Linked DNA regions of Tamandua tetradactyla. The protein of the gene in region 1 purifies or fractionates together with the protein of each later gene. This does not show direct contact. Links are inferred from orthologs where the notes say so. Each region holds a gene or a part of one and is shown on either strand. Other genes may lie near its edges. The genes, in order: CDKN1A, PSME3, CDK3 and CDK1.

The links.
Region 2: the proteins of CDKN1A (region 1) and PSME3 purify together in Homo sapiens (affinity purification with western blotting; 3 studies listed by BioGRID). This does not show direct contact. The link is inferred for Tamandua tetradactyla from reciprocal best matches to the Homo sapiens genes CDKN1A and PSME3.
Region 3: the proteins of CDKN1A (region 1) and CDK3 purify together in Homo sapiens (affinity purification with mass spectrometry; 3 studies listed by BioGRID and IntAct, counting the BioPlex papers as one, with this or other methods). This does not show direct contact. The link is inferred for Tamandua tetradactyla from reciprocal best matches to the Homo sapiens genes CDKN1A and CDK3.
Region 4: the proteins of CDKN1A (region 1) and CDK1 purify together in Homo sapiens (affinity purification with mass spectrometry; 11 studies listed by BioGRID and IntAct, counting the BioPlex papers as one, with this or other methods). This does not show direct contact. The link is inferred for Tamandua tetradactyla from reciprocal best matches to the Homo sapiens genes CDKN1A and CDK1.

What each region holds. Positions count from the first base shown.
Region 1 is NC_135331.1:93,465,506-93,472,380, forward strand, and holds the start of CDKN1A (cyclin-dependent kinase inhibitor 1), read left to right. Parts: upstream 1-3,867; 5' UTR 3,868-3,959; intron 3,960-6,875. UniProt on the Homo sapiens protein: Plays an important role in controlling cell cycle progression and DNA damage-induced G2 arrest. Involved in p53/TP53 mediated inhibition of cellular proliferation in response to DNA damage.
Region 2 is NC_135332.1:24,427,173-24,434,177, reverse strand, and holds the start of PSME3 (proteasome activator complex subunit 3), read left to right. Parts: upstream 1-3,993; 5' UTR 3,994-4,102; coding exon 4,103-4,177; intron 4,178-4,276; coding exon 4,277-4,309; intron 4,310-4,429; coding exon 4,430-4,492; intron 4,493-4,706; coding exon 4,707-4,811; intron 4,812-5,708; coding exon 5,709-5,757; intron 5,758-6,407; coding exon 6,408-6,520; intron 6,521-6,725; coding exon 6,726-6,794; intron 6,795-6,904; coding exon 6,905-6,972; intron 6,973-7,005. UniProt on the Homo sapiens protein: Subunit of the 11S REG-gamma (also called PA28-gamma) proteasome regulator, a doughnut-shaped homoheptamer which associates with the proteasome. 11S REG-gamma activates the trypsin-like catalytic subunit of the proteasome but inhibits the chymotrypsin-like and postglutamyl-preferring (PGPH) subunits.
Region 3 is NC_135332.1:16,403,929-16,411,862, forward strand, and holds the start of CDK3 (cyclin-dependent kinase 3), read left to right. Parts: upstream 1-4,926; 5' UTR 4,927-5,012; intron 5,013-5,684; 5' UTR 5,685-5,694; coding exon 5,695-5,810; intron 5,811-6,172; coding exon 6,173-6,250; intron 6,251-6,346; coding exon 6,347-6,467; intron 6,468-6,560; coding exon 6,561-6,731; intron 6,732-6,808; coding exon 6,809-6,910; intron 6,911-7,183; coding exon 7,184-7,387; intron 7,388-7,934. UniProt on the Homo sapiens protein: Serine/threonine-protein kinase that plays a critical role in the control of the eukaryotic cell cycle; involved in G0-G1 and G1-S cell cycle transitions. Interacts with CCNC/cyclin-C during interphase. Phosphorylates histone H1, ATF1, RB1 and CABLES1.
Region 4 is NC_135339.1:36,504,467-36,512,326, reverse strand, and holds the start of CDK1 (cyclin-dependent kinase 1), read left to right. Parts: upstream 1-4,856; 5' UTR 4,857-5,398; intron 5,399-7,457; 5' UTR 7,458-7,482; coding exon 7,483-7,519; intron 7,520-7,860. UniProt on the Homo sapiens protein: Plays a key role in the control of the eukaryotic cell cycle by modulating the centrosome cycle as well as mitotic onset; promotes G2-M transition via association with multiple interphase cyclins.

The DNA.
Region 1 (6,875 bases):
TGAATGAATAAATAGAAGAGAAGCCTCAGAAACAAGGGCACTGAAGTCTAATCTCAGAGTGCAGTCCAAAAATGGCCCTTCCATAAATATTCACTGAGCTCCCAGCTGAAGCTGCCAGATCTCAAAGGTACAAAGATGAATAAAATATGGGCTCAACATCTCTGCGTTTGCAGCTCAGAGGATGTACCAGGCACGTAAACAAAGCAGGCCAGCAATGCACAGCGGACAGGCTTGCTCTCCTGGAGCTCTGGGAACTGGAGAGAGGCCTGAAAAGGCCTCAACACCAAGGAGTCACTTAGGGTGGGTCATTGAGTGAGAGGGTGGTGGCGGTGGCAGTGGGGAGGATGGAGGGACTAGGTTGGTTAGGGAAACTCATCCCTGGAAGAGGGAAGGGTATGTGCGAAGACACAGAGAGCCCTTTGCTCCTTAAGTGGTCTATGACCACGGTACTTCCTCACCTCCTTTTAATCCCTAAATGATCTGATCAACTCATTCACACTGTAGTGGACATTGCACTGTGCCACCCAGAATCCCTCGCAGGACCCAGACATTTTCCCCACTGGATGCTGGCAGTTTTGGCTGCTGATGCTCACAGTTGAGTCCTTCTTCAGGAATAGTCCTCAGATAAGGGAGCTCCCTTGCACAAAGTCATGCATCAAGCACCCCCACCCCCGCCCCTCATTTCTGCCTTCTAAATGACTGTTGAAGGCATTGCATCCCAGCTCCAGAACTCCCAGTGGGATCACCTTAAACCTCATTAGAGCTTCTAGACTCTATCACAGCCCAGTTTCTCTCTCTGCCCAATCCTGTTTCTTGTACACCCAAACTGCTGTTGATCCTGAATGTACTTTTCAATGAACCTCCTGCATGCTAATCTCCACCTCAGAGTGTGTTTTCTGGGAAACCTACCTAAGTCAATCACTAAAGTGTAAATGACTATTAAACCCCAAGGGTTGCCTTCCCTGGGAGTGTTTGTACTATAGGAATAATAATAACTAATATTCATAAAGGGATTTCTTTGCCAAGCACTATGATAAGCACTTTGTCTATCTGATCTTATTTAACAAAGAACAGATCTAAGCCAAAGGAATGTATTTCTAATGGTGAAATTTCAATCTTTGGCAGTTGGCTTAGGAAGCTGGAAGTGTTTGTGTGGTATAACTTTTGCCACAAATATTTGTGTCTCACTGTATGATCAGTACTGACCCTTGCACTGGCTGTGTAAAGTCCCCATAAGGTCAGAGTGTGGACTCCCAGTCTAATTTTTCTTTTAAAAAATACAGGGCTTATTCTGCTCAGTAATATAATAAATCTCTGTTCTGCTTCTTCCCTTGGGCCTCACTTCTTGGGAGCCTGTGTGGAGGTGAATTCCTCTGAAAGCTGGCTGTCCCTGGTTGGGACTCCCCGAGACTCTTCTAAGAAATGGTGACATTATCCCAGCACTTCCTCTCTCTTCCCTAGCAGCTCCTGCAGCCACCGTTGGGCCCTCCTCACATCCTCCTTTCGCGGGCTTGGGCATTCCATCTTCCCTCTCCATTATCTGCTCCTCTGCCCCAGAAGAAATGCTGGTCTGGACTCTCCTGTCTCCGAAGCTGAGCCCTCTCTCCGTCTCTAAGCCTGCCTCCTGGAGAGCATGCCTTGGCAGCAGGCTGTGGCTCCATCTGTCCTCTGGCCTCCAGGAACATGTCCCAGCATGTTGAGCCCTGGCATAGAAGAGGCTGGTGGCTGTTCTGTCCTTGGGGCTGCCTACTTTGGGGCAGGGAGGAGGGTGGTAGGAGACAGGAGGTCCCCCAGAGACCCCAAGGAGAGCGTGGCCTCCTTCTCTCCAGGAGGCCCGAGTTTCTCTGAATAGAATATGTGATTTACAGCAGATTTCCTGGAGCAGGCCTGGGATCTGGCACTGCTGAGTGTATGTGTGGGTGTGTATGTGGTGGGAGTTAGATCTTGTGACCTCTACCAGCCTGCTCCTTTGCCCTCTTCAGGGGAGAAGTTTTCTTCCCCTTGAAGTGTGTGCCTGGCTACACATTCAAGTGCATGGTTGCAAACATTTTTAAACTACTGAACAGTTACTAGACATTCAGTAGATGCTTAATAAATATTTGTTGCATTCCATTATAATGGTGGTGGGGAGCTAGGAGTTATTAAAAAAAAATCATTTCCCAACAACAACAACAAAAAGAATTATTTCATTGTGAAGCTCAGTGCCACAAAACTTTAAATAATTCAATACAAGCCTTCATTAAAAGGGGGAAAAAATTCCAAAATAAACAGGCATACAATGTCAAGTCTATTTGAAATGCCCAAAAGCAGAAGGGATTCAAGGCAGGAGGAGGATATGCCTGTCCTCTGCTGGACATTGGGAAACTTAGTCCTTGGGTGGTGTGGGTGGGTCCTGAGGTCTCACATCTCTGGGGCCCTCCTGAGGTTTAGGTACAATCCTGACCTGTCTCCAGGATCAGGCAGGTGAGAGGGTCTGGGACTGTGCTCTCCCAGCCGGACCTGTGCTCCCAGCCCCACAGTAGAGAAAAAGGCCTGTCCTCCCTGAGGTCAGCCTTATTAAAGGAAGAAGACAGGGCATGTCTGGGCAGAGATTTCCAGACACTCAACAGCCCTAGATGTCAGTAATTGTAGCCACTCCAAGCATGGATTCTATTTTTTTTTTTAATGGGATTTCTGTTCAGATTAACACTCTATTCTCTGCAAAAAATAAAAAAATAAAGCAGAAACTGCAAATGTTGGAAGTGAGTGAGAGAGGCAAAGGCAAGGTGTGAGGAGGGCTGGGTGTGTGGGGTTAGGTGGGAGCAGCTGGACCCCTCACATACTTCTATATCTGACAGAAGCACCAGTGGAGAATTCCAGAATTGTCCTTCATCAGTGTCACTTCAATAAATCCCCTGGAAATGAGGTCTAGAGCTACTGAAGCAAAGGGGGCAGCAGGCAGAGCTCTGGAATGGAGGCAAAAGGGCTGTCGTAGTCATTAATTCACTGTGTGACCTGAGCCAGGTCACTTAAACTCTCTGAGCCTCAGTTTCCTCAGCAGTGAATGTGGGGTGTGTTTTTGTGGAATATCCAGGTGATAGCTCATTCACCAATGCTTCTTCCCCACCTAGCCACAATGGTTTCTTCTGCTGAGGTGAGAGTGAGGTGTGTGGGTGGGGTGGGGTGGGGGGTAAGGGGAAGCTGGTTCACTGTCCCATTTCTCCTGGAGACCTGGTTGGATCTTTCTGAGATTTATGGAATTAACTCCAATTCCCTCTTTCCCTGAGGCGATTGGCAAGCAACAACTTTGCAAGCCTTTAGTTCTCTGGGCCTCTTGTTTCTTCATCTGTAAAATAAAGGAGATTGAATTCCACTCTGGCGTCAAAACTTTGCTGGGGTGTCTGGGTACCCCAAGGTGCCGTGGAATCAGTGGTGGTGTAGTGAGACTTTTCTGGGAACTGCAAAGTGAAGGGCATCATTTTTATTATTTTTTAAGAATTTTTATAAATCTGGGTTAGGTAAATCCTTGCCCAGATCGGTCAGCAATGGGCCAGAAATGGAAAGGGGTCTCATCCTAACAATGCCGCCTTCTCCTGGCCAAAGCCCACTCACTTCCCAAACCAGAAAAAGCCCGGCTTATGGCTAAATTCATGGAGAAATGTGTCAAGCTCGCAAGCCCAGGCGCGCGGGTTGGGGGGAAGCGCCCTCTGCAGCCGACGAGGCCCCGACTCCAGTTGCTGGCGAGGAACCTGGAGCTGGGCCAGGCGCGGGCGCGGAGCCGCCCGGGCCCCTGGGGAGGGCGGTCCCCGGCGGCGCGGTGGGCCGAGCGGCCGGTCCCGCCTTTTAAGGCGTGTCCGCGCAGGGGCTATATCAGGGCTGCTCCGGGCGGCGCCAGCTGAGGTGTGAGCGGCTGCGGGAGCCGGTGGCCTGGAGATCCAGATTCCGGTGCAAGTTCATCGAGACACAGACACCCAGACGAGGTGAGGGAGCCGCGGCAGGCGACAGCACATCCTGGCCCGGAGCACTGCGCTGAACGTAGCCGCTGTGTGTGTGTGTGTGTGTGTGTGTGTGTGTGTGTGTGTGTATGTGCTGTGTTCACAGGTGTTTTTGCGGCAGGTGAATGACTTGCGTGGGTCCGTGAGTACTCGATTTGCGCGCACGGATGGCTGTAAGTGCGCATATGATGAGGGTCGGGATGTGTCCCAGACTCTAGGCGGAGCGGGGGCACGAGTCCTGGGGATCCCCAGCCAGGCGCCCCTCCCCTCGAAAATCCGCTGAAGAGAGGGAAGGCGTGGGTGGGGCCGCCCTCGAACTCTCCGCGTTGGGGAGGCGCCCCGGACCCCGCTCGTTCGCGACGTGGGGATGAGGCCGGGTTCCCGGAGGTCCCCGAAGGGGCGGGGGACGCGGAGCGAAGCAGGTTCATGTGGGCCCCGCCCCGGGACGGCTCTTGGGCCAATCAGTCCACTCAGTGTCGCCAGGGCCCTGGCCCCCGAAGTCCGGGAGCTCGACGCCGCGGTGTTCGCCGCTCGGCTGAGCGCTGAGGTCAGCGCGGGCTGTGTCCCTAGACCTCGGGAACGTGCCAGGACACGTCCCTTAAGGGCAAGTGAGGAGGTGACTCACGGTGACAAGAAGACCCTGGGGAGCGGGCCGGATGAAGTCAGAATCCCGCCCGGGCTGGGGGGCGGTGGCGCCCCCAGAAGACCCCACCCCTGCCTCTCCCTGGTGTCTGTCCGTTCATCAGCACAGTGACCCACTTGGCTGGTACAGCGTGTTCCCAGGGAAGCCGGGACACCGGGAGGTCCTGGACCGGGTTTCTAGCCCCCGCCCCGCGACGCGCCCTCGGGATCTGGGCGGGTTCCTGCCGTTCTCTGTCGGTCGGAGAAGCGCAGGGATCGGTCCCACCGCCGCCGGGAGAACCCCGTCCAGCCTGCCGGAGGGTCCGGGGCGCTGAACTCTGGGGTCCAAGCCGAGCCGGGCGCCCCGGGACAGTGGGGCACGCGGTCCACGCCGGGATGGGAGACGAGAAGGGGTCGCATCTTAGCGGTGTGGGGCGCCAAAGCTGTCTAGGGCCGGTGTCAGCCGCCCTGGGAGGCTCGGGGCGCCCCCGGCCTAGCCCAGAGCTCACTGTGCGAGGGCGACCAGCCGGAGCCGAGCAGGAGAGCCAGTCGCCCGCCCCTCGGGTGCCGCCGCCCGGCGCGGGTCACTGGGAGGCCTCCCTGTCCCGCGGCGGGTGGACACGAGTGGAAAAGAATCTCGGTACTGGATTTGGCACTTTGGGGCGCCCAGGCAGCTCCCTCCCACCCAACCTCCCTTCCTGCCGCCCTCGCTCCACGTCGCGTTTCGGGGAGGACGCGCGAGCGGTTTTGTTTTCGTTGTTCCCGTCTATTTTTATTTTCCAGGGATCTGACTCATCCTGTACTTTGGGCGTGGAGATAAGGTGGAGGGGCCAGATCTCGGCGCGCTTGTGCAGGCGCGAGTGTGTGTGTGTGTGTGTGTGTGTGTGTGCGTGCGTGTGTGACAGAGACGGCGCGAGAGTGCGCGGTTGTTTCCCAACAGCGGCGGGGGTTTCGGAAGCCTGGCGGCTCAGCGTGACGTGTTCGCGGCCCTGGCCTCCCCGCCCCGCCCCGCGCTCTCCCCCTTTCCCAGCCCAGGGGTGACGCGCCGCCGGAGTGGAAGCGGAGTTTTGGCGGGCGGGGAGCGCTTTGCAGGAAACTGACTCATCACAACTTCTCCCTCCCACCTTCCAAGGCTCGGCCCACGCACCTCCCACCCCGCGCCTGATTGATTTCCTGGAGATCGGTGCCCCCTCCCGGCCGCCGCGCGCACAGCAACCCGTCTTCCCGCGGAATCCAGCTGCGGGAATCCTTCCCGGCCGCAGTTGCTGCGCTGATCCTTTCCCCCACTCTAACCCCTTAAAAAGAGTACCCCACTGGTTCAACAGTATTTACTAAGAGATTACTGTTTACCGGGAAATTAAAATATGGCTGAACTCTGTTACTTGTTTGTAAAATCTGAGGGTTTGTGTTTCTGAGTTTTTTCTCTGAGTTGGTTGAGAGCAGGTGCTTGGTGGGGGAAGAGAGGCCCAGGAGAGCCATAAAGGAAAGAGTGGTAAGAGAGAAGATCTCTGCCCTGATTCCCGTCCCATTTTCAGCTCCTAGCAGCCAGGAGATGTCCAGCTGCCTGGTAAAGCCCTAGGCAGGCTCTTCCTCCTTGTGCCAAAGGACCTGTTGAGACTCAGAATGCCTGCTTCAGCCATCCAGTGTGCCCCCCTTGACTGGCACCCCAAGAGTGCACCCCTGCGGGGCAGTACCAAACACTTGCTTGAATCCCCTTTAATTTACATGAAGTTAGTCTGGGGACAGGGGACCCCTCAATGTTTGTGTGTGTATTTTAACTTTTTTTGTTGTGTGAAATATAACATATATACAAAAAAAGTAATAAATTTCCAAGTACATTTTAACAAGTAGTGATAGAACAGATTTTAAAGTTTGGTATGGGTTACAGATCCACGATTTTTCGTTTTTTCTTCTAGCTGCTCCAAGACACTGGAGACCAAAAGAAATATTAGTATATTGGTTCAGCAGTCATACTCATTTGTTAAATCCTATCTTCTCAATGAGGATTTTGAAAAAGCTGCCCAAGTGATGCTGATGGGTATCTCTGATTAAGAAACCTCAAAATAAGAGAGGGAGTTGGTGCCAGCACAGAACACAGAACCCAGGGCAGGCAGGCCTGGCAAATTGCTTAACTCTTCTGAGCCTTGATTCCCTCTTCTTTAAAAACAGCTAATATCTACCTTCCTTCTAAGAGGATTAATATTTGTAAAGTGCTTACAACCTCCCCTGGCACATGAAAATATATAAATAGGGTAGGCAATGGTGGCTCAGTAGCAGAAT
Region 2 (7,005 bases), on another chromosome or scaffold:
TCTTTTTGCATATGGGTATACAATTGTCCCAGAACCTCTGTTTGAAAAGACTGTCTGACTTACTTTATAACTGGGTCATTTGACTACTGTTGAGAATAATTTGAAGAGTGGCAGGAGTGGAAGCAGGGAGTCTAGGTAAGAAGCTTTTGGGCTAATTGAGACAAGAGATGATTGTTAATTGAAATAAAAAATTATAAATGGTATAGATTTCTTCGTATTTTGTTTTTGCATGGGCAGGCACCAGGAATTGAATCCAGATCTTAGGCATGGCAGGTGAGAACTCTGCCACTGAGCCACCATGGCCTGCCCTTTTTTCTTTAAAAAAAATTTTTTTTGGTTTTGCCTCTTCTACCTGGAAGACAAGGTATTTCATCAATTTGTTTGGCTCACGTGACAAAGTTTCTTTGATTCTAGGTCCGACACACTTTGTACTTCATGAAATATATCATACATTTTACATAGTTTAATTAAAAAATACATTTTAAGCTGATTGTTCTTTTGCTGCCTTATTTATTGTAACCTTTAGCACATTCCAAGGTTTTAGTTATTGAGGAAGGAGTTAATTAAAACGATTTTATTTTGGTCTGATGGATGTTTTTTAAAAGGAAAATTATTATTATGAACCTTCAACCTACTTTCCTTGGGTGCCGTAAAAGTGCTTGTAAATCTTTTTTTTTTTAAGAAGAAAAAACTTGGTGTTTAACATCAATGGAAATTCAAAGATATGAACTGAAACATTAGCTTAGCAAAAATAAAAGCTATCTGTCTTTGAAAAAAATTTTTTTGGTAGTATAGATTGTATAATTTCATTTATATAAACAACAACATGTTAATAAAAATGTCAAAATTATGTGCAGCAAGCAGTATCTTTACTGGACAATGGAATGAGGATTTTCTTTTACTTCATACAAGTTTGTAATGTAAGATTTTTTTTTACAATAATCATATAATTAATTTACAACAAAATGAAACCTTTGAAAAAGATTAATACAGCAATATAGGTTAGGAAAATGGTGACATGAATTTACCTATAATCCTACCACATCAACTATCATTTTTATAATTTCCCTTTTAATGTTTTTTCCTATCCATTATAACATGGTTGTGTTTATAATTGTAATGAAATTTTTAAATTCTATTTTTTTAATTTAACATTACTAATAAATATTTTTCCATGTTGCTAAACAGTTCTAATTATCATTCTCATGACTGAATTGCATTACATCAACTATACTACCCTATGGTATTCCTTTATTGTTGGACATTTCTATTGCTTCTGGCTTTGGTGACTAAAATAATGCCACAAAGAGTACCTGACTGCTTCCTCATGACAGAGTCTCACAACTGGCATTACTAAATTAAAAGAGTGGCTATTTCATGTCTCTTGATTAATACTGGCAATACTTTTCCAAAGTGGTTGCTTATAATTATATATATTCTGCTTCCAGTAGCAGATGAGAGAGCCTGTTTTATGATGCCTTGGCCAGCACGAAGGTAAAAAATGGCACTTCTCTGTTATTTTAATTGTCATATTTGATTACTGGTAAGATGAACATTTTGCCATATACTTGCTTGCTGTAGTTCCCCTTTTTATAAATTATGTTTGACATCATTTACTCATTTACTATTGGGTTTTTAAAATTTTCCTAAGTTTTAAAATCAATTTCCATGAATGGTTTATTTAAGATATTTTCCAGATGCAAGGTTTTAAGTTTTTATAAAGTCAAATCTGCTTATCGTTTTTCTTGGTAATTTATATTGCTTAAAGAATCATTCCTAGATCCAGAAGTGACTTTTCTATTATTTTAAGCATGTGTGGTCCTCCTAAAATTGGTGTTGGGTGGCATAATGTGGAACTAGATTGGTTTCCTCCTAGTATTCCTAAGTAGTTGTAGTCTCTACAGCCGCTTCTTCCTCTTGGATTTCAGGAGACCCCCTCTAGAGAAGGAGAGTGGAATCATCTCCAAAGACTTCTAATATAGGCCTGGTGTAGTCCCACATTTCTGCCTGCTTTTTGCCAGAAAGGCATGGAGAAGTAATTTGGGCTTAGAGAAATTAACTTGGGCTTCTAGAGAGGTAGGGCATATAGAAGTTAAAACTGAGGGTTTGGAAATATAGACTTCCTGGGTTCAAAACCTGTCTCTTTCACCAACCCTGTGACCTTGAACAAGTTATTCAATTGTTCTATGCTTTGTTTTCTCATTTATAAAATAGGGATAATGTATCTATCACAGAGTAGTATGATGATTAAGCTAGTACATGTAAAGCATAGAGAATAATGCCTGAGACATAGTAAGTACTCTGTGTAACCTGCTGCTTGGGGAGTAATCAGTGTGAAGGATTGTGAATAATCACAAACACCCTGTCATTGGTCAAACAAATATTTATTGAGGACCTACTATGTGCCAAGCACTGTTCTAGGTCTAGGAGGATAAAGTGGTGAACTGCTCTAATAGTTTATATTGTAAGGGAGAGATTTTGACCATATAAACAAGATAATTTCAGATAAGGTAGGTATGATGAGGAAAATAAAAGAGGATAATGTGGTGAAGAGAAGGGGCAAGAGCAGGTGAAACTTCTTCAGTTGGGGATTTCAGGAAGGTCTCTCTGAAGACATTTTAGCTAAGACTTAAAAGACAAGGAGCTATGAAAAGAACTGTGGAGGCAGGTCATACAGAGTGGTAGGCTATGGGCATGAGTTATGGATTTATTCTGTTAGCTGGGAAGCCAGTGAGGATGATAAGCAGAGAAGAGGCATGATGTTGCTGATCTTTTAAAAACTGTTTACTTAAGTATAAGATACATAGAGAAAAAAGCATAAATTCTAAGCATACAGCTGTGTAGCCTTGGATGAGACCTTCACTCCGGGAGTCAATTTGCCCATCACCTATCTTTGATGTCTAGAAGTTTATGAGTAGGTGGTGGGGAAAGGTGGGGAAGTCTGGTACAACTGAGTTTGTCTTCTATCCACAACATTTGAACTTCAGTGGACGAACTGCAGCGGGAATCGCTGACTAGCCAGAGAAACGAGCGCCGGGGTCTCCGGCTTCCTCTGGCCGACGTCACCGGGGTGCGACAGGTCGTCTGTCCTGTCCTCGGAGCGGTTCAGGTCTCTTCGGTGAAGGCGAGTTCCGGGTCAAACGGTTTTTTAGTCTCTTTGAGGCCCAGTTCTCAGTAAACCTTCCTCTACCGCTCTCCCGCTTGCTTCACCCCTCTCGGACACAGCAGCCTGAGAGATGAATCCCGCCCGGAGGGTATTGATTTGAGGCCCCGCGCGGCTGCGCAGGGCACGTGCGTGCCTCGGTTGGAATCCGGGCGATTGGCTGTGACGTAACTTCCGGTGTGAGCGGCGAAAGCCGGGAGGGCGAACGAGAGAGCTAGCAGGCAGCGGGCGGGCGGACAGGCATAGGGAGGGAGCCAGCGAGCAGTGAGCCAACGAGGGCGGCGGCGTCCCGAGGGCAGCCGAAACCGCCCCCCGCCCCACTGCCCCCCTCCCCGGAGCCCACAGCGCCTCCGGTCTCCAGCGGAGCGGACACGGCCCGACCCGGCCATGGCCTCGTTGCTGAAGGTGGATCAGGAAGTGAAGCTCAAGGTAGCGGCACCGGTCGGACTTCCTTACCCCTCGCTTCGCTCCCACAGCAGTCTGACCGGCTCCCCCACTCCCCATGGCGTCTTTGTCTCCCTGGGGACGCCAGCTCCAAGCTTCCGCTCGGTTTAGCCCAGCCCCCCACTCTTGGAGACGGTATCGGGAGGAAGGATAATATAGGGTGGCCTTGTATACCCCGACTAGTAATAGAGAGCCCCGGGGACACCTTGGTGGACACGTGTTGGACTCAATTCTTTAGTGACACCTGGAAATCCCCCAACCCAGCAATGTCCCCGCCCCCGGACTCTAGCTGCCACCCCTGTCCTTGGCGTCAGGCCTGCGTGGTATCATAGGCCAGGTCTGAGTAGGGGTTGGCACGTTTATGAGCTCACATCCCCTCTACCTATCTTTTGTCTGCTATCAGAGGCAGACGGCCTCAGACACAGGGAGGGAGGGAAGGAGGGAGGGAAGACAGGGGTGCTGTGCTGCCCTTAAGCCCCTCTTCCCTCTCCAAAGATGGAGAAATGGATCCTCAAAAGAATAAAGTATTTACAGTCTGGGGGCCTCTCAGCTTCTCATTATAATTACAAGGTGAGGGAAAGGCAGCTAACTGGATTTTGGATTCTCAGCCCAGTCCTTAACTCTGTTGCTCTTACTGAATTACTTTTTTTTTTCTTTTGTCAATTTTAGGTTGATTCTTTCAGGGAGCGGATCACAAGCGAGGTGAGTGAAATAGAAAAATTAGTCTTGGTTAATAATTGGGAGTTTCTCATGGCGGAGGGTGTCTGTAGAGAGAGACCTTTCCATAGTTGGTAATTCTGCTGTGTTTTCACTCACCTTTAGGCAGAAGACTTGGTGGCAAATTTTTTCCCAAAGAAGTTGTTAGAACTTGATAGTTTTTTGAAGGTGAGAGATCCTTTGTTTTTTTTCCCTTCTCTTTCCTCACATTCCCCATGTTTTTGGCCTTGGTCTTTCTAGCAAATGAGACAGATTGTGTGTTGATTGTATTTTTTTTGTACTGTACAGCATGGTCTCATTTCTTATCCTTCAGATGAACATACTTCTTTGTTCACCTTGAAAAGACTAAGGGTGTTTTGGGGCTGGGCCATCTCTCTTTCAGGAACCAATTCTAAACATCCATGACCTAACTCAGATCCACTCGGACATGAATCTCCCAGTCCCTGACCCCATTCTTCTCACCAATAGCCACGATGGACTGGATGGTGTAAGTGTCCTTCTGTATTTATCTGTTTGTTTTTAAGCAGTAGGTTCTCTGTCCTCAGCATTTTGTCGGTTTGAATGTGTACAGAGAGGTCAGTAGGATTTGGATTTTGAAACCAGGCCTCTGAATCTTATGAGCATGAGCACTCCAATATACTCGCTTTTGACTCTGATGTTCATCTATAGCATGAGAATATTTGACTTCTTTTCTCAGTGTTAGAGTGAGCTTCAAATAGGACTAAACTAACTATGGTTTCCCTCAGGTTATCTGATCTGTTCCTTTGGCTCTAAGCAAGACTTTGTTTCAGTGACTTGAATCCTGTTAATAGAACAAGAAGTTCTTGCTGTATAACTCCAGTCCCTGTTTTTGCTGTGCTTCTTTAGCAGTCATATGCCCACATGCTACTATAATACTGATGACATTGTATCATTCTTTGTTTGCATTACTGTCTCATTGATAGAACTTGCATTTCTGGAGGCAGAAACTGCCTTAATCATCTTTGCAACCTCAGCAATAGCATTGTATCTCGTACATAGCAGGTTCTAAATACTGTTGATTGAATATTGTATTCCTTTGTGGGAGAAACAAATTTGTACATATTCCCTTAGTGAACCTCACTTTGCTTTTATCAGTTCCTTTTTTTGTATTCTTTATAGAACCTCCCCTTCCCCCATTTACTTAATGCCTCGTATTTCTTGAAAGATTGATCTTCCTAACTAGAGTGTAAGTTGCTTTGTGGCAAGAACCTTTTCCTAAAGCTTTATGTGTGCTAAGTAAATTGTTCATAATTTGATAAAACAACCTGTGTGGTCAAGGAAGGGATTAAACTTGAAGGCTATCTGGTGCATGGGGATGCAGGTGTTTAAGATGGGCTAATTCCCACCACTTTTGTATCCTTAGCCCACTTATAAGAAGCGAAGGTTGGATGAGTGTGACGAGGCCTTCCAAGGTAAGAACAACTCCTACCCTACCCTCTGACCTGCAGTCCTGAGAGGCAGTATGAATCTGGTGCACTCCTTGTTGGGAAGCAGTATCTGATTTTATTTTTCAGAGTCAACATTTCCAAATCCTCCAAACATGGTCATTATATAGCCCCTAAACCTGATTTTCCAGTGAACAGGGAGGTTTTGATTTAGTGTGGGCTGCCAAGGGAGAGAGACTGTAGGTAGAGACTATGCATCTCAGATTTTTCATAGGGTCCCTTTCATGTTCTTTTTTTCCCCCTTCAATAAAAAAGTCGATACATTAAGTCCTTAGAGCATGTATTTATTTTAATATCTTTATTCTTAAATATTTTGGCATACTTTAAATACTCATTTGTTAACCCGTAAATTCTCTGTTTGATTTTAATAGTGGCATCATGGTTTGTAGTGTTGTAACAGATAGAGTTTTTTTTTTAACATGGGCAGGCACCAGGAATCGAACCCGGGTCCTCTGGCATGGCAGGCAAGCATTCTTGCTGCTGAGCCATCGTGGCCCGTGTTGTAACAGATAAAGGTGAAGATAGCATTTCATGGATCTGAGGAGGAAGAGAGGAAGGTGGGAGTTCTGTGCCCTTCCCCTCACTCCAGTCATTTGGCATCTTCACATCCCTTCCAGGAACCAAGGTGTTTGTGATGCCCAATGGGATGCTGAAAAGCAACCAGCAACTGGTGGACATTATTGAGAAGGTGAAACCTGAGATCCGGCTGCTGATTGAGAAATGCAACACGGTGAGGCAGGGACCAGTGACCCATGGGCTCGTGCCATAATGGGTGACAGGCTGGAGGCATAGAGGTGGTATCAGGGTTGGCAGAGTCGATGTCTTGGCTCCTTTGCACCTGGTGTGTGCCCCAGCAGCAAGAATTGTATACTTCATGACTTCAGCAGAAAAGGCCAGGGTTCTAAAATAAGTGTTTTGGTTCCCTCACCCTCCAGGTCAAAATGTGGGTGCAGCTTCTGATTCCCAGGATAGAAGATGGGAACAACTTTGGGGTGTCCATTCAGGTAATGTCTTGCAACTGGCAGTATCTCCCCTGCTTTTTCCATTTTCCAGTTTTCTTTGAGGCTTCTCTGGATATTCTGAGAGTGGCTTTTGACTTACCTGTTGTTTTCAGGAAGAGACAGTTGCAGAACTAAGGACTGTTGAGAGTGAAGCTGCGTCTTACTTGGACCAGATTTCTAGGTAGGGTAGCTTGGACTTGGCTTAGGAATTGTG
Region 3 (7,934 bases), on another chromosome or scaffold:
ACTTGATACTTTGTTTGTATTGCTACTGAAAGGTTTAAGGATATCTGATATTGTTATGAAATTAATGTATTTTGTATATGGGAAAAACATGTCTTTTTTAGGGGCCAGAGGGTGGAATGTGCTGGTTTGAAAGGATATATGCCCCCTAAGAAAAGTCATGTTTTAATATAAATCCCATTTCATAAAGGTAGAATAATCCCTATTCAATACTGTATATTTGAAACTGTAATGAGATCATCTCCCTGGTTGATGTGATTTAGTCAAGAATGGTTGTTTAACTGGATTAGGGGATGACATGTCTCCACCCATTTGAGTGGGTCTTGATTGGTTTATTGGAGTCCTATAAAAGAGGAAACATTTTGGAGAGAGAGACTCAGAGAGAGCAGAGAATGCTGCAGCACCACGATGCAGAGTCCACGAGCCAGCAACCTTTGGAGATGAAGAAGGAAAGTGCCTCCCGGGGAGCTTCATGAGATAGGAAGCCAGGAGAGAAAGCTAGCAGATGATGCTGTATTTGCCATGTGCCCTTCCAGCTGAGAGAGGAGCCCTGACCGTGTTCACCATGTGCCTTTCCAGATGAGAGAGAAACCCTGAACTTCATTGGCCTTCTTGAACCAAGGTATCTTTCCCTGGGTGCCTTTGATTGGACATATCTATAGACTTGTTTTAATTGTTTTAATTCTCGGCCTTAGAACTGTAAACTAGCAACTCATTAAATTCCCCTTGTTAAAAGCCATTCCGTTTCTGGTATATTACATTCCAGCAGCTAGCAAACTAGAACAGTCCCCTTGCCCTGGATTCCCGTATTTTCTTGTGACACCCAAGGGCTTGAGAACTTGATGCTCTGGATGGAGGCATGGGGTGTAGGCTTCCCTCACCTCTCCATCAGACCTCCTTGCTGTATACTTGGAGGTCACCGGCCACAGCAAGTGGCCGTCCATAAATCCCACCACCCTTTGGTTTTCTTCCATCGAACCTCATCTCCCCATTCCACCCTCTGTCTGCCTTTCCTCAAGCCTCTTTCTTATGCTCTCACCTTCTTCGGGATTTGACTGAAACCTGGCTTTTCCCCAGGATGGCAGTTTCCCCACTACCACCTTCCTCAGGCAGTCCTGCTCAGGCCACCAAACCCAGAGGGAGTGCCTGGATCCCTGTGGCTCCTGTGGTTTGTCACCGCACACCTTTCCCATCCCCGGTGGAAGCCAGTTCTACCAGCAGGCACCTTTGCCTCACTTTGCCTCTCGCACTGGGGCCTCACCTAGGACCTTGTCTTCCCTAGAACTACCCCACCTTTGCCACCCGATGCTACAGCATTCCTGTATTTTCTTGTGACACCCAAGGGCTTGAGAACTTAATGTTCTGGATGGAGGCGTGGGGCGTAGGCTTCCCTCACCTCTTGGTACCTTCCTGTCCCTGCACGTCCTCCTGCTGCCTCCTTTTCAGCCGCACCAGGCCTCTGGATTCCTGGACTTTTCTCCCAACTTCTCTCTCCCCTTCAGTTCCTCCCCTTTCTGGCAGAAAGTGCAACCTCTTGCCCTCCTTCCATCACACTGATTAGCTCCCAACCTCCCCACTTCTCTGATCCTGCCCCGGATTATTGAGTGAAGAAGGACCACAGAACTCGGTGAATTTGCAGCACAATGATTTCAGTGTCTCTCATTTCTTGGGAACCCTCCACATTGCCTGGAAGTCCCTCCAGGCATCTTAGTCAAGCCCCTCTCCCATGCTACCCACCCCTCCGCCATCAGATAGGACCTCTTACTACCTAGCTTCCCCCATCCCTTTCGGCAGATGACCCACCTACTTCCTATGTAAAATGGAGGCTCCAGGAGCAGTCCCTCCTCCTAAGATCATATGCCCCTCACTCATCATTAGCCTCCCCCCACCCCACCCCACCAAACGCCCATCCATTCCTTCGGACCCCCAGACTGCCCTCCTGCAGGGGCTGTGTTCTCTCTTGTTTTTTATCACAGAAGTTATAGGTTTACAGAAAAATCATGTATGAAATATAGAGTTCCCATATTCCACCCTCAACTGTACACTTAACTTGTCTGCACTGGTTCTTTTCTTTCAGCATATAATGTGCTTGAGCCTCCTCTGACTTAAAATGATAATCACCTTTCACTCTGCACCCTTCCCTAACTAGGCTCCTCCTTCCCTTCACAGTCAAACTTGTTCTCCATTATCTCCCTTTCCTTATCTCTCACTCATCCCTCACTCAGCAGTCCTGGGCTGGCCTTTGTAACCTATGATCCTTTCTCAGCTCTGGCTTCTTTATCTTTGCAAGAAGAAATTCTCCCAAATGACCAGTTCCCATTCACTTTTCCTAGCTGTCATGTTCAAAAACTTTCCCCTTTCCCTGCAGCCCTTCTTCAAACACAGTTCTTTTTATTCCATTTACAGGGGCCTTCCGCAGATGGACCAGCAGTATTGTGATTTGTCCTTTGCAATAATCATATTTCAAAAAGCTCATTTCCATATTTAATAGCTTTTTCCATTCACAGGGAGAAGCAACATGTTCTACAATAAAAATCTAGTGGTAAGGGTTTCCCCAGGCTGAGAAGAAAGGCATCATGTAAGGAAACTTCTGTGAAATTGAGCCAGACAGTTAAGAAAGTCTTTATATCGGAAGTTTGCAAATTTGATGTTTCCCCCCCATTTTTGAGTTTTCAGCAGCTCCAGTTGGGGTTTAGAGCTCCTTGATTTTGTCCTTGCTCTCCCTGTGCTGCCCTGAACATCTGTGACTACTCTGAGTACTTAGGTGGCAAGATAAGGTTTAGGTCTATCAGGACCAGCTGAAGATTTGGCAGACGTCCTGCTTTATTGGTTTCCTAAAGGGGGCTGAGCACTAAGAATCCACCGTCTGCACTGATCAGTGGCTGCAGAAGGTTGTCACGCTCATCCTCTCTGGGTCGTCACTGCAGCCTGGTGCTAATAACAGAAGCTTGGTGACACCCAAGCTACTTCGTGGTTCAGACAAGTTCCATCTTCCAAGAGGAGCCCTGTATTAAGGCTTAACAGTCTGATGTTTAGAATCTGCACCCAGGCTACATTAAATTGATAAGATGGCCTAGACGAAAAAGACTAGGTTTAGACTTTATCGCATCAGAAAGCCTCTATCACAAAGCTACATCAGAATAGACAGGGTAATGTCCTAGGACATCGAGTGTACTTCTTGACGTGCTGAGAGAATAGAGAAAGCATGAATGAAAGAAAAAGTATTCGAGGGTGAATCCAGATGTCTTTTGTGTTAGATTCAGTTGTCAACTTGGCCAGGTGAGCATACCTAATCTTGTTGCTGCAGACATAAGCCAACGGTACATGAACCTCATCTGTTGCCAATTACATCTGCAGTCGGCTAGGAGGCGTGTCTGCTGCAATGAGTGACGTTTGACTTAATTGGCTGGTGCTTAAATGAGAGAACGCAATGTAGCATAGCCTAAACAGCTCGGCGTTCCTCATCTCAGCACTTGCAGCTCAGCCCAGGCCTTGGAGATGCAGAAAGAAGTCACCCCAGGGAAAGTTGTTGGAACCCAGGGGTCTGGAGAGAAGACCAGCAGAGACCATCTTGTGCCTTCCACGTAAGAAAGAACCTCAGTGGAAAGTTAGCTGCCTTTCCTCTGAAGAACCAACAAAATAAATCCCCTTTTATTAAAAGCCAATCTGTCTCTGGTGTGTTGCATTCCGGCAGCTAGCAAACTAGAACATCTTTCCTGTCTGATGTCACCTGAATGTTGACATATTCCATCAGGTCACCACTGCATCTTCTAGAAGACCTACTGGCATTGGAAATTAAACTTGGAAGTGAGCTCTAGAAATCTGATTATTGCAAGGGACCAATTGGACACTGCTGTCAATCTGTCTGTGAAAGGCCTGTGTAAATGGAATGACTTCCAGCCTGCCCTGGAAGAGGGGCTAGATAGGGCTTCTTGAGGTGATTTACCCCTGTGAGGCCAAACTCTCCTGGAGCTCAGCCCCTTGGATATATTAAAATATGGGTTTTCTTTTGCCCTAATTTCCAATGCCAGAGGGTCCCAGGGTGTGAAGGGGGCCCTAACCTCAGTACAAATGGAGACCTAGGATAGTGACTGAGACCCCTCCTCGACCAGGGGCACATCCCCTCCTCGACCAGGGGCACATGGGGCCTATGGAAAAGGTGGCTGAGATGAAGGTGACAAAGGATGTAGAAAGCTGGGCTCAAGCCTAGGAATCCCTTCCCAGGTTAAATGGGATTTTCAGGCCACCCACTAAGTTTCAGACATGTGCCTGTTAGTGTGTGGCAGGTCACAGTTCTGACAAGTTGCTAACTTCTATATACCGTCCTTCTTGCCTCCACCCCTCGCTGTCAAAACTCAGGACTAAGTAAATGGAGGGAAGACGGCTAGAATGCTCCTGGAGCACGTGTCACTGGCACTCTGGGCCATCACTGCTAGTGCCTCGACGGTTGTGTCTTTCAGATGGAGGTTCCGTGGTGAAGGCCCGGCTGCTGACTTGTGTGGAAGGGATCAATCTACCCTTGTTGGAACAAGCCATCCAGGAACAGAGGCTGTACCGACAAGAAAGGGACAGCTCCCAATAGGAAATGGCAGTTCCCAGCCATGCACCTCCTCACACACTCACCGGATCCTGGGCCAAACCAACAGGAGATAACCTTGCGGTGGATGGAGACGCTCTCCCTGGAGTGACAGCCCTTGCTGGGACCAGAGAGTAGAGGGGAGGGCTTGTTCTTCTGGCCCCTTTCCATAATTATTGTCCCGGAAATGGGATCCTGGAGAGCAGGCCCCGAAGTCTGCCCGCTCCGCCCCACCCCCCCAAGGCTGCTGGAGGCCGAGCTCTGGGGCACTGGGGGCCCCAGGCCATCATGGAAAACTCCAGAAGGTCCTCGTGAATAAAGGCGCCAGAGGGCGTGAGCAGGGCTTGTGTGCACGTGGTGATGCTTCGGCAGCGGCCAGGAGGGGGCGCCGTGGGGCCGGAGTCTGTCAGCAGTGAGGCTGCTGCGTGCGCAGTTTCTGGTGACGTCTGGGCTGGCGAGGGTGGCACTGAGAGGAGGGTGCTGGGGCGCAGGGGCCCGGGTGGGGGGCCCGGGATGCTGGGGGGCCGCCCCCAACAAGCTTCTGCCCTAAGAAAAGACCAAGCATCACCAAACGGGCCGGGTCTACCCCCTCAGCGGACTGTGTGGCCTAGGGCTAGTCTGTGGCTCCAGCCACCCTTCCAAGCCCTGACCTCTGACCCGAGCCATCCCCAGCCCCTGGGCAGCCTTTCCGAGCTGCCTTCCCACCCCGGGGCCCGGGCCGGGGGGCGGGGGGGGGGCAGGGGCTTGGGCCTGGGCATGAGAAGTTTGGGCCCTCCTGTACTCCGTAGCAGGGCGCAGTGCAGCAGCGTCCGGTTCCCCCTGGGGACTGGGCAAGAGCACAGGGGGTTCCTGCCTGGGCTGGGCAAGGGGCAGCCCCCAGCCCCGAGCCAGGTGCCCAGGGATGGGCTGGGGACACCAGGGGCGGGGAGCTGGGCCTGGACGGCCGCCACCGGGACCGCAGAGCGGGGCAAGCCCTGTGGGCCGCAGGCCCGGGGAGTTGGGCAAGCCCGGGGGGGGGTGCTCAGCAGGGGTGCCATGAGGAGGCTGGAGGGGGGAGCCGGGGCTGGGCGTGGGGGGCGAACGCCCCGGGCGCCATCTGTTTCCCGGGCAGCTCTGTGGCCATGGATGTGTTCCAGAAGGTCGAGAAGATCGGAGAAGGCACTTACGGGGTGGTGTATAAGGCCAAGAACAAGGAGACCGGGCAGCTCGTGGCCCTCAAAAAGATCAGGCTGGATTTGTGAGTGCTGGCACGGCCCCCGAGAAACACCCAGCCCAGGGCCACTCAGCCCTGTCCATTCCCTCATCTCAGAATGCTGCGCTCAGTTCCTTCTGTGAGTGCTGCCTAGTTCTATTCAGGCAGCCACGGAGATGCAACCCTAACGTGTCCTCACCCCAACCCACTGCCTCCTCCCTCCCTCTGGCCCAGCTTTGCCCCTGGGCCCAGCTCCCTGAGGCTCAGATGGGTTGTAAGTAGGTGCCGAGGCACACAGGCTCCCATTCGCTGGGGGTGGGCCATCCTTACAGGAATAAGGAACACAGAAGTGCTCCCTCAGCTCCTGCCTCTAGGCCTGCTCACAGCTGTGCCCTCCTTCCCTGCAGGGAGACTGAGGGAGTCCCCAGCACCGCCATCAGGGAGATTTCCCTGCTCAAAGAACTTAACCATCCCAATATCGTCAGGTAAGTGGGCAGAGGAGGCAGGGAACTGGAACAGTGAATGCCAAGCCTACCTGAATCCAGCTAGGAGCTGCTGCATCGCTGGCGTCTCCTTGCCAGGCTGCTGGATGTGGTGCATAGCGAGAAGAAGCTTTACCTGGTGTTTGAGTTCCTCAGCCAGGACCTGAAGAAGTACATGGACTCTAGCCCTGCATCTGAGCTCCCCCTGCACTTAGTCAAGGTACCAAGGCAGGGCTGGGGAAGATGAGGTATCAACCCACTGAGCCAGCCCCCAGCCTCTTCAGCTGGCTCCTTCCCGTGCTTGCTGTTCCAGAACTACCTCTTCCAGCTGCTGCAGGGGGTGAATTTCTGCCACTCTCATCGGGTCATCCACCGAGACCTGAAGCCCCAGAATCTGCTCATCAATGAGCTGGGAGCCATCAAGCTGGCTGACTTTGGTCTGGCCCGCGCCTTTGGGGTGCCCCTGCGCACCTATACCCACGAGGTACTGCTGGGTCAGGGGGAGAGAAGGGCAGCTGGAGGAATGGCACCCAGGAACGGCTCTGTTTTCTTGTCCCTCAGGTGGTGACACTGTGGTATCGTGCCCCCGAGATTCTCCTGGGCAGCAAGTTCTATTCGACAGCTGTGGATGTCTGGAGCATTGGCTGCATCTTTGCAGAGATGGTAAAGAGGGACAATGCATTGCCGCGGGTGTGTGTGGGGGGGAGGCGCGTGCAGGCAGGTGCGCCTGCTGGGAGCCGGGGCTCGCTGCTTTTCCTATTAGAGGTGGGTTGAGGGGTGTTTGAGACTGGCTAACAGACTGAGGAAGGGGCTTCATCCCAGGAAAAGCCCTGGGAAAGATATCTTGAGGGTCACTCCCTTCGTTCTGGCTGCTCGTTGGTAGCAGAGTCTCTTCGACCAGCAGGGGCTCTACTCTTTCTCCTTGGCCCCGTCCAGGTAACCCGCAGAGCACTGTTTCCAGGCGACTCTGAGATTGACCAGCTCTTTCGTATTTTTCGGACCCTGGGGACACCCAGTGAAGCCACGTGGCCAGGAGTCACCCAGCTGCCTGACTATAAGGGCAGCTTCCCCAAGTGGACCAGGAAGGGGCTGGAGGAGGTTGTGCCCACTCTGGAGCCAGAGGGCAAGGACCTGCTTATGGTAGGTGCCAGGGTAGCCCTGGCTGCTGCCCCAGCCGGGAGGACCCCCTCGGCCAGCTGACCTCTTACATAACCCGCACCTGCTGTGGCTTCACACTAATCTCTTCTCTGACCCTTTATATAACTGGCTTGTCCCTGTCCTTGTGCGTATTGATTCTTAATCTGGAAGCCACGCTGCATGATAAGTTCAAAGTTCATCTGCCCTTATAAAGCTCCTCTTTTCCAGTTAGCTTTTTTTTTTTCCAGTTAGTTTTGTTTTTATACCCTGAGACTTGCCCTTTACTCCTTGTATTTTTACTTCTTTCCCCTTGTGGCCGTTATTACCCCATCCAAGCGGCAAGCTTTCCTGGTATTCCCTGTAGTACCGTCAATGCTGGGCAGTCTTCACATGAGGCTGTTCACAACAGGCTGTTCCCTGTTGCCTGCGTGCCTGCCACATTCCTCATCCCCCCACCCTGCAGTCCCTTTTATAACCACTTGGACTGGTCCCAGGTCAAACTGGTCAAAGCCAGCAGTTCTTGCCCACATAGGCTTGGAGGACTTAGTTC
Region 4 (7,860 bases), on another chromosome or scaffold:
CTCTTATCAGGCAAGATGTTCCAAGGGCTTAGAGAGCACCTCCTCTACACAGATATTTTGTGTACTCACTACCCACACAAAAAAGCATGTGGGTAGTGAGTAACAGGAGAAGCTAGACCATGGAAACTTCTTCTCATCACCAGATTTGTAAAACTACAAGAAGAGACTTTGGTGTTATCATCTGCAGTTCTCTTCTTCAGGAATACACTCATTAATTCAGTATAAACAATTATGACTCAGACAATTTTTTGAATCTGGAATACTTAGAAATCATGCAAAATAGCATTTTCCAGAATCCCTGTGTTTGCGGGGCAAAAAATTACAGCAGTACTGCAAATAGCTGATAATGTAGAAGAAATCTGATAAAAGTTTTATGGCATTACCAATAATGAGCTAAGAAGTTAAAATAACTTTCTTTGTAATTATGAATAATAAAAAACAATTTTGATCCATCCTGATACAGGAAAGACTGAGTTATCTTTTTTCTCTATACAGAAAATATTACAACACAATGTCATATGAAGAGACAAAGACATCAAGCTTGCCAGGTGGGTTAACAAGTAAGCATTTAAAATATGGATGTCAAAAATATAGCCATAAAATGTAGGGCAATAGGCATTATAAAAGTGTGTCAGGCAAAATAGAAAGACTTTTGGTGAATTTTGTAATTTTGTGGTATTCTTCAACTTGTTGAATTTTACAATTTTATGATTTCTTTTCGTATTCTCAATACATATTTCCCATCACATTTAATTATATATTCTTTTTCTTAAAAAGGGCCTGCAAATGATCCAAGCTTCTGGAACCCATAAAATCTGGGACTGTCCTTGGCTCTCTGCATCCATATGGACATCTCCTGGTACCTCCCAACCCACAAGCCCAAAGTGGCACTTCACCTCTCACAGCTGCCCATCAGACACTTTCTGGACTGGTAGTGGTGTCAGCCTGTTTCCAAGCCACTTATATACCCAAGAGTCACTGGAGATGACTCTCTCCTATTTTCACCTCACTAAATCCCTCACTGAGGCCTTGCAGTCCTATCTCCTAACTATATATGGCGGCCATTTCTTCCTCTTCAAGCTGACCACCACCTCCCGTAGTTAGCATCTGCCGGAACAGTTGCTTGAGCCCTCCACTACTTTTCCTGGTTCCAAAGTAACCTCTCTCCTCACACCTTATTGTCAGGTTTTAGACGGTAGCTGACTGAGAAATCAGAGAAACTGAGTCCGAGTTTAAAAAGTTTATTGTCCCGGGGCGAGGTTCCTGGGTCCAGGTGTTCAGGGTGCGGGCTGGGGAAGTCGCCCCCCCCTGGGGGCGGCGGGGCTAGATATAGGCTAGCTAGTGGGGGTGCCGACGATGCCTACCGGGCCTTCTGTGGTAGGTTAGGAGTTTCACGCGCTTTAGGGCTGGGGGGCATAGCTACAGGCCTTGGCCGGGGGCATAGCTACGGGCCGTGTGCAGTGGGCATAGCTACGGGCCGTGTGCAGTGAGGGTCCTTTGTTTGCAGGGCAGGTCCTGATGGCTGAGTTTGAACAGCTGTATGCCTGGATGTTCACGGGTTTTAGTTCGGGTGGGGGCCTTCCAGTCAGAGGTTAACAGGCCTTACATTTATCTTCGGTGACCTTTCTCCCCCTAACTCTCTCATCTGACTATGTCACTCTCATACTCAAAATTTTTTCAATTCTATCCTCCAGTCCAAATTCTATGGCATAATCCTAAAAGGCTCTTCAAGATATGGCTATTGTTTAATTGCCTAGCCTCATTCATTTGACCCTTTCTTCAGTACCCAGACTCTCTTTATGATCTGGCAATATTGAATAATTTCATTCTCTTAAAAATGCCTTGTTCTTTCTTCTCAATCAACCAGGAAGCTCTCCGCACTTATTTGCCTGTCAAAACTCTTCATTCTTCAAGACCCATGCCACTTCTGCTATGAAGCCTTGCCTTCCTCCCTTCCTCCTCCCACCTTACACACACACACACACACACACGTGCACACACACACGCATGCACACACACTACTTCTGGTAATCTGTGTGCTCTGTAAGAGCATCCCTCACCAAATTGCACTTGAAGCACTTGTCCCCCATCTAGATAGGAAGATCCTAGGGGCCAGTGTCCATATTACTGACCTGCTGCCCTTGGTCCTCATTGGCCCCTAGGTTGGTGAGTGAATCTCTCCTCCCTACCCCAATCCCACTGCCTGAAAGAACAATGAGATAAAGGTGCGTTGACAAGCAAGCACTTAGTGTGGATACCAAATGTTAACCGTGCTTGCTCTTTTTCTCTCCCTTTTGTTGGAGGAATGAAGGTGAGGTATGGAGGTTGTATATAATGAACTCTCATTATCCTCATTTTACATTTTGAAATTGCACAAAAATACTTATTAGTATAAAAATTAGAAAAGTTCCTAAGGAGCCACCTTACTAGTTCTGCTTTCAGCTGTGATTACGAGATCTCAAATGTTTCTCTAACAACTTCAATTTCTGAATTAACCTAAAGGAACATTATTTGACTTCTATTGGGTAAGTATATCCAGCAACTTCTATTAATTTTATGCAGTAGAAAAAGGGCTTTGGCCAGAGTCATTCATTCATTCATTCATTCATTCTTCTTTGGACTAAGCGGTAAACTAAAACTGTTCAAAATTAAAAAGATGCAAAAGTTTCCTTTTCACCTCTGTGCCCCAGCCTCTCTTCTCCACAGAGGCATATTGTTATGTTTGTGGCGTCTCCTTTCAGAATAGTATATGTATTAACAAGCAAATATTTCTCAAACTTATTTTTATCTAAAAAAAATCTGAAAAAAAAGTTATGGGTAATGCCAACTGATCTTTTCTTTTCCTTATGTAACAGAGTTTACTGAAACATAAATATGAAACTTTGGGGGGGCACATGCCTTTCTATACCTCCCCTCTTTAGTTCTGCTTTTAGATCTCAGTTACAGTTGCTGTTTTAAAATATCGTTCCAAGCTTGTCCCTCTTCTGCCCAGACTCTTTGGAACAGTGTTGAGTGCTCTTCAAGATTCTGACTCCAAACTCTTTTCCCTAGCTTGATACCACTGGTACCCCTCTATATGCTGAATTACTCGGGAAGACTTTTAAAAAATTATGGTAACATATATAAGATATGATTTCCCCCTTTTTTTTTTTGCATGGGCAGGCACCAGGAATCAAAACCGGAGTCTCCAGCACCGCAGGTGAAAACGCTGCCTGCTGAGCCACCATGGCCCACTCCCATTTTTTAACATACAATTCAGTGGTGTTAATTACATTCATCACCATCCATTACTAAAACTTTTGTCATAACACCAAACAGAAACTCTATTTTAATAGCTCCCCTATTCTCCCTTCCCCCAACCCCTGATAACCTTTAGTTTGTTTCTTTCTCTGTGATGAGGTTGGGGAGGAAAAATGGTCAGTCAAGTCAGCACTGAAGTTTCTGGAGTTGGTGGAAATGGTAAGAGTTATGGACACAGAGAGATTATATTTGGTGAGAGAAGATGTTTGAGGTTAAGCTGACAGTGGGAACTCCAGGTGCAGATGTCTGTGAATTTTCTCTGTGAATTCACTTATTCTAGATATTTCATCTAGGTGAGATTGTACAATATCTCCCCTCTTGTGTCTAGCTTATTTCACTTGGCATCATGTTTTCAAGGTTCATCCATGGCAGAATATGTCAGGCAAAGCCTCTGTGCTTTGTTCATGCCGTTTCCTCTGCTTGGAATGCCCGTCCCACAATTCTTTCTAAAGTATTTATTCAAATGTCACTTCCCCTGTCAGCATTAGTTTTCTCCTCTGTGTTCCCCTGTCATTTTATAGCATAAGTTACAATTTAAGTACCAGAAGAGAGTTCTAAATCATCTTTGTGCTTCCCCCCTCTTATACTGAGAGCAGGAATGGTATCTTACTCATTTTTGCATTTATAAAATACAGTGTTGCACTTTACAGACACTGAATATAGGTTGGCTGAAAATATAATAAACTATATGTGTTAAGAGGATAGCTTGAATTTACAATAACCCTCCTGAAATTCTGAAAAGAAAGAGAATCGCATTAAATTAAAAAAGAGTAGCATCACAGCTATGGAAGCTTATGGTCTTCTTTATGCTGAATGTAAAGTGAATATAATGCATTAATTGCATTTTTTAAGATGATACAAATTGAATTCCATGCCTAAGCCTTCCAGAGAGAAAGACGTATATTCATTTATTAAAATCAGTAACCCAAAATAACAGAGAACAGCCTGCCTCCCTAGAGCACCACTCTGGGGAAATGAAGGCAGTTTTCATGTAAAGAGTGAATTTTTCATTTAAAAGTAAGCTTTAAAAACTGTTAGGCTTAATTAGGGTATTTACAAGCCCCTACCCAACAACCCCACATGTTCTGCCTCTGTGGCCTGGGAGGCTAAAATAGTCAAGACTGAGCCTAAGTGCCACATATAGGGCCAAACAACAGATGTTGCTTCTCCTATTCGTTGTGCAAAAATGCATGAATGCATGTGATATACTAGTTCCATTCCTTATCCTACCCTGGGTATTCTAATTCATAGTTGAAGAGGTCGAGATAGTCATTCTTTGTTCTATGTCCAGTTAGAGTCAAGGCAAAGAGGAATTCTTCCTAGAGGACTCTTACTACCCCGGGTTCTACATACTGTTTTATTTCCTTAAAGATTGAATGTTCAAATGCAAAGATCTTTCTTAAGGATATGGTGGTGATGCTGTGTTATTTAAAGAATAACTTGATTCCTTTTTCTTCCTTCAAAGAATTATGAATTTTGTGTTCATATGTAAAATTTTGATGTAAAAATAATTTAATATTGTAAAAATTTCCTTTAGATTTTAGGTCTTTCCATTTTCCATCATCTTCAGGTAAGTGAAAACGTGCTCTTATGGAGAAATAGGCTCATCCAGCAAACCACTCAATTTAGAAAAACATAAATATACATTAGCCTTAAGCACGAGAACTGAACGGAATGGAATCTTGATGTAATGTGATAAGCTATTTGAGCGCAATAATTTTTAACTGTACCAATTCCGGAAGGAAAAAAACCCGAACGAATAGTAGATTCTCAAGACGAGAAACAGTAGAACGACGCTTCCCTGGGATGAAAGACGCCCCTGTGTTCAGACTCAGTTGGCGCCCGCCCACCTGCTTTTTCTCCAGCCGCCGTTTCCTCTTCCTTTCGCGCTCTAGCCGCCCGGGAAACCCAGCCCAAGCGTAATGTGCTCTGATTGGCTGCTTTGAAAGTCTACGGGCTACCTGATTGGTGGATCGGAGACCCTTTAGCGCGGTGACTTTGAAACTGCTCTCACTTTGCTTCAAACCTGGCTCTTGGAAGTTGGGAAGGAGTGACGCCGACGTGGTAGCTGCTGCCACCACCGCGTCGGATAAGCCCGGTAGAGTTGCAGGGGCCCGGGTCGTACCTATGGGGCATGTACTCGGCAGGCGCCGGCTCGGGGGCCTTGGGGAGGGGAGTATTGAAAGCCCTGCTGGGGAGCAGGGGGTGTGTGCGGCAAGGCCGGGCCTCAGGGTGGGCTGGGCCCGGGGCTCGGAATCCCGGGCCTGGGCTTTAGGGGGAGTTTTGTGGGAGCACAGCCGGATGGGCTTACTCTGGGGAGGGCTGAGGCTGCCCTGGCCTCGGAGTTCCCTTCTGGAGGTCTGAATCGTCTGTTTCGAGGAAGAGGTCGCCCACCCAGCGGAGGAGGCATTCTGGTGTCGGTGCAAGCTGGATTGAAGCAAAATCCGTGCACAGGTTCGAGGACGCAGGGTGCTGGTGAGCGCCAGGCTCGCTCATGGGCCCTGCTGCTTCGGTTCGCCGCCTGCGCTTCATCCTTCGGCTGCTCCGGGGGTGGAAAGCGAGACCGCACCTGGGCCGGGCCCCACGCCAGTCTTTAATCCCAGTCAGTCTGAGAAACCGATCCGACGAACTTCTGGGCTCTCTCGGGCTTCCTTCAGCACCCATGTCCCTTACCTGACCGGAAATTTTAAGAACCCGTAGCCAAGGCACAGAGCCAGTGGAAACTTGGGTTTCTTTTTTTTTTTTTTTTTTTTACTTGTACTTTACACTCGTAGCTAGTATATCACTGGCAAAAAGTGGAAAACTAAGAAATGCCGAGAGAGAAACATGTGTTCTTAATACCTTTGTCAAGGCCTTTAATCAGTGTTGATCCATTACTAAAGTTACTAGTGTGCATTCTGGACCTGGAGGTCTCTGGGAAGGGAAACTAAGCCAAAGATATTTTATATCCTACAGCTGTTAGAACAGAGCCGCGGGACGCATCCAAAAGGCATTCTGAAGCAGCATGTTTTATTGATAATTGTTAAAGTTGGAAAATAGAAGGGTAATTGAGTCCGGCTTTGAAGTGGAGTTAGTTTTTAGCTATTAAAGTGAGCGCAACAATTTTATTGTGTTTTAGCCCATATTAATTCTGGTCACTTAGGAAAAGATAATTGTGCTAAATTGTCCATTGCTGTTTAATAAAATTAAATTGTAAATTCTTGATGGACATTCTTTTGTTTTGGAGTCAGTTGCTCAGAGTAACCCTTATGATTTTATCATCAGTGATGAGTGTGTTAGAAAATCAATGTAATTATGCTTCAGATTTCTGAGGTTTTGCTTCATTGGAAAACTTAACCAACTGAGAAGATCTTGAGTGTCTGGCTGTCTGTCTGCAATTCTGCTCCTTCTTACCATTCTTAGTGATTAGTATTTGTTTTTTTATTTGGTTCTTGGTGTTGGTAGGGTATAATCAGAACTTTATTTGTGGAATTGCACTTTTAATCTTTTCCTTCTAGGGCATTCAGTGATATCTTCTTTTGCAAAAGGTACCTTGCAAGTCTTGTAATAGAGAAGCACATTTGTCTATGTGACTGCTATAAACAAAGAAGAAAAATTAAAACTCAACTTGCGCCAACTGTAAACACTTAAAATGCTTTTGTTGCTTTAAGCAAAACCTTTCTAATGGGGAGCAGTCTGACCAGATTTTAGACCCCTACTCAAGTCTCCTGAACATTTTCTCTTGAATTATCTTCACTAAAAATATCGTAAAGCAATACAAATCAAATCAAAATAGCATTATTTGCTGATGTATTTGGGTATAACCTTGGTACACAGTAGTGCTCCTTAAAAGTGTTACTTACTTCCATGTTTGGTTTGGAAAGGATGGATTGATTTATTGTGAATTTGAGGGCTAATCCAGATGGAAGAAGCTAAATGTTACACTGGTGTAGAATATACACATATTTCCAATATTTTAGAAGCTAAAGAGGGTGGGAAAGTCTTATTGCAAGAGTTCTTATTCTTGTAAATATTGTCTTAATATAACTCATATTTATGAAATACTTTATATTGCAGTAGACATTGCTAAATACTTAATATGTAGTATCTCATTCATACTTAAAACCACTCTTTGAATTAGTAGCATGTAATCAAGTCATTTTTTCCCCTCATTTTAGGATTTACGGCACCTGTTGGGTAACTATGGAAGACTATACCAAAATAGAGAAAATTGGAGAAGGTGAGTGATTTTAATAATATAAAAATTTTTTAAATGATGATTTAATAATGCAAATATGTCTATGACTTGAAGAAATGTGCACATATTTATTAAGATCCAGCCACTAAGTGTAGACCCCAAAGAACTGGAAGCAGCAATTCAGATACTTGTGCGGTAATGTTCATAGCCCCGTTATTCACAATAGCCAAATGTGGAAACAACTCAAGGTTCCATCAACAGATGAATGGATTGGAGAGGGTAAATAAAATGTGGTATATCCATACAATGGGATACTAATCAGCCATAAAAAGGAATGAAGTTCTGATACATGCTACAACATGAATGATCTGTGGAAAACATGC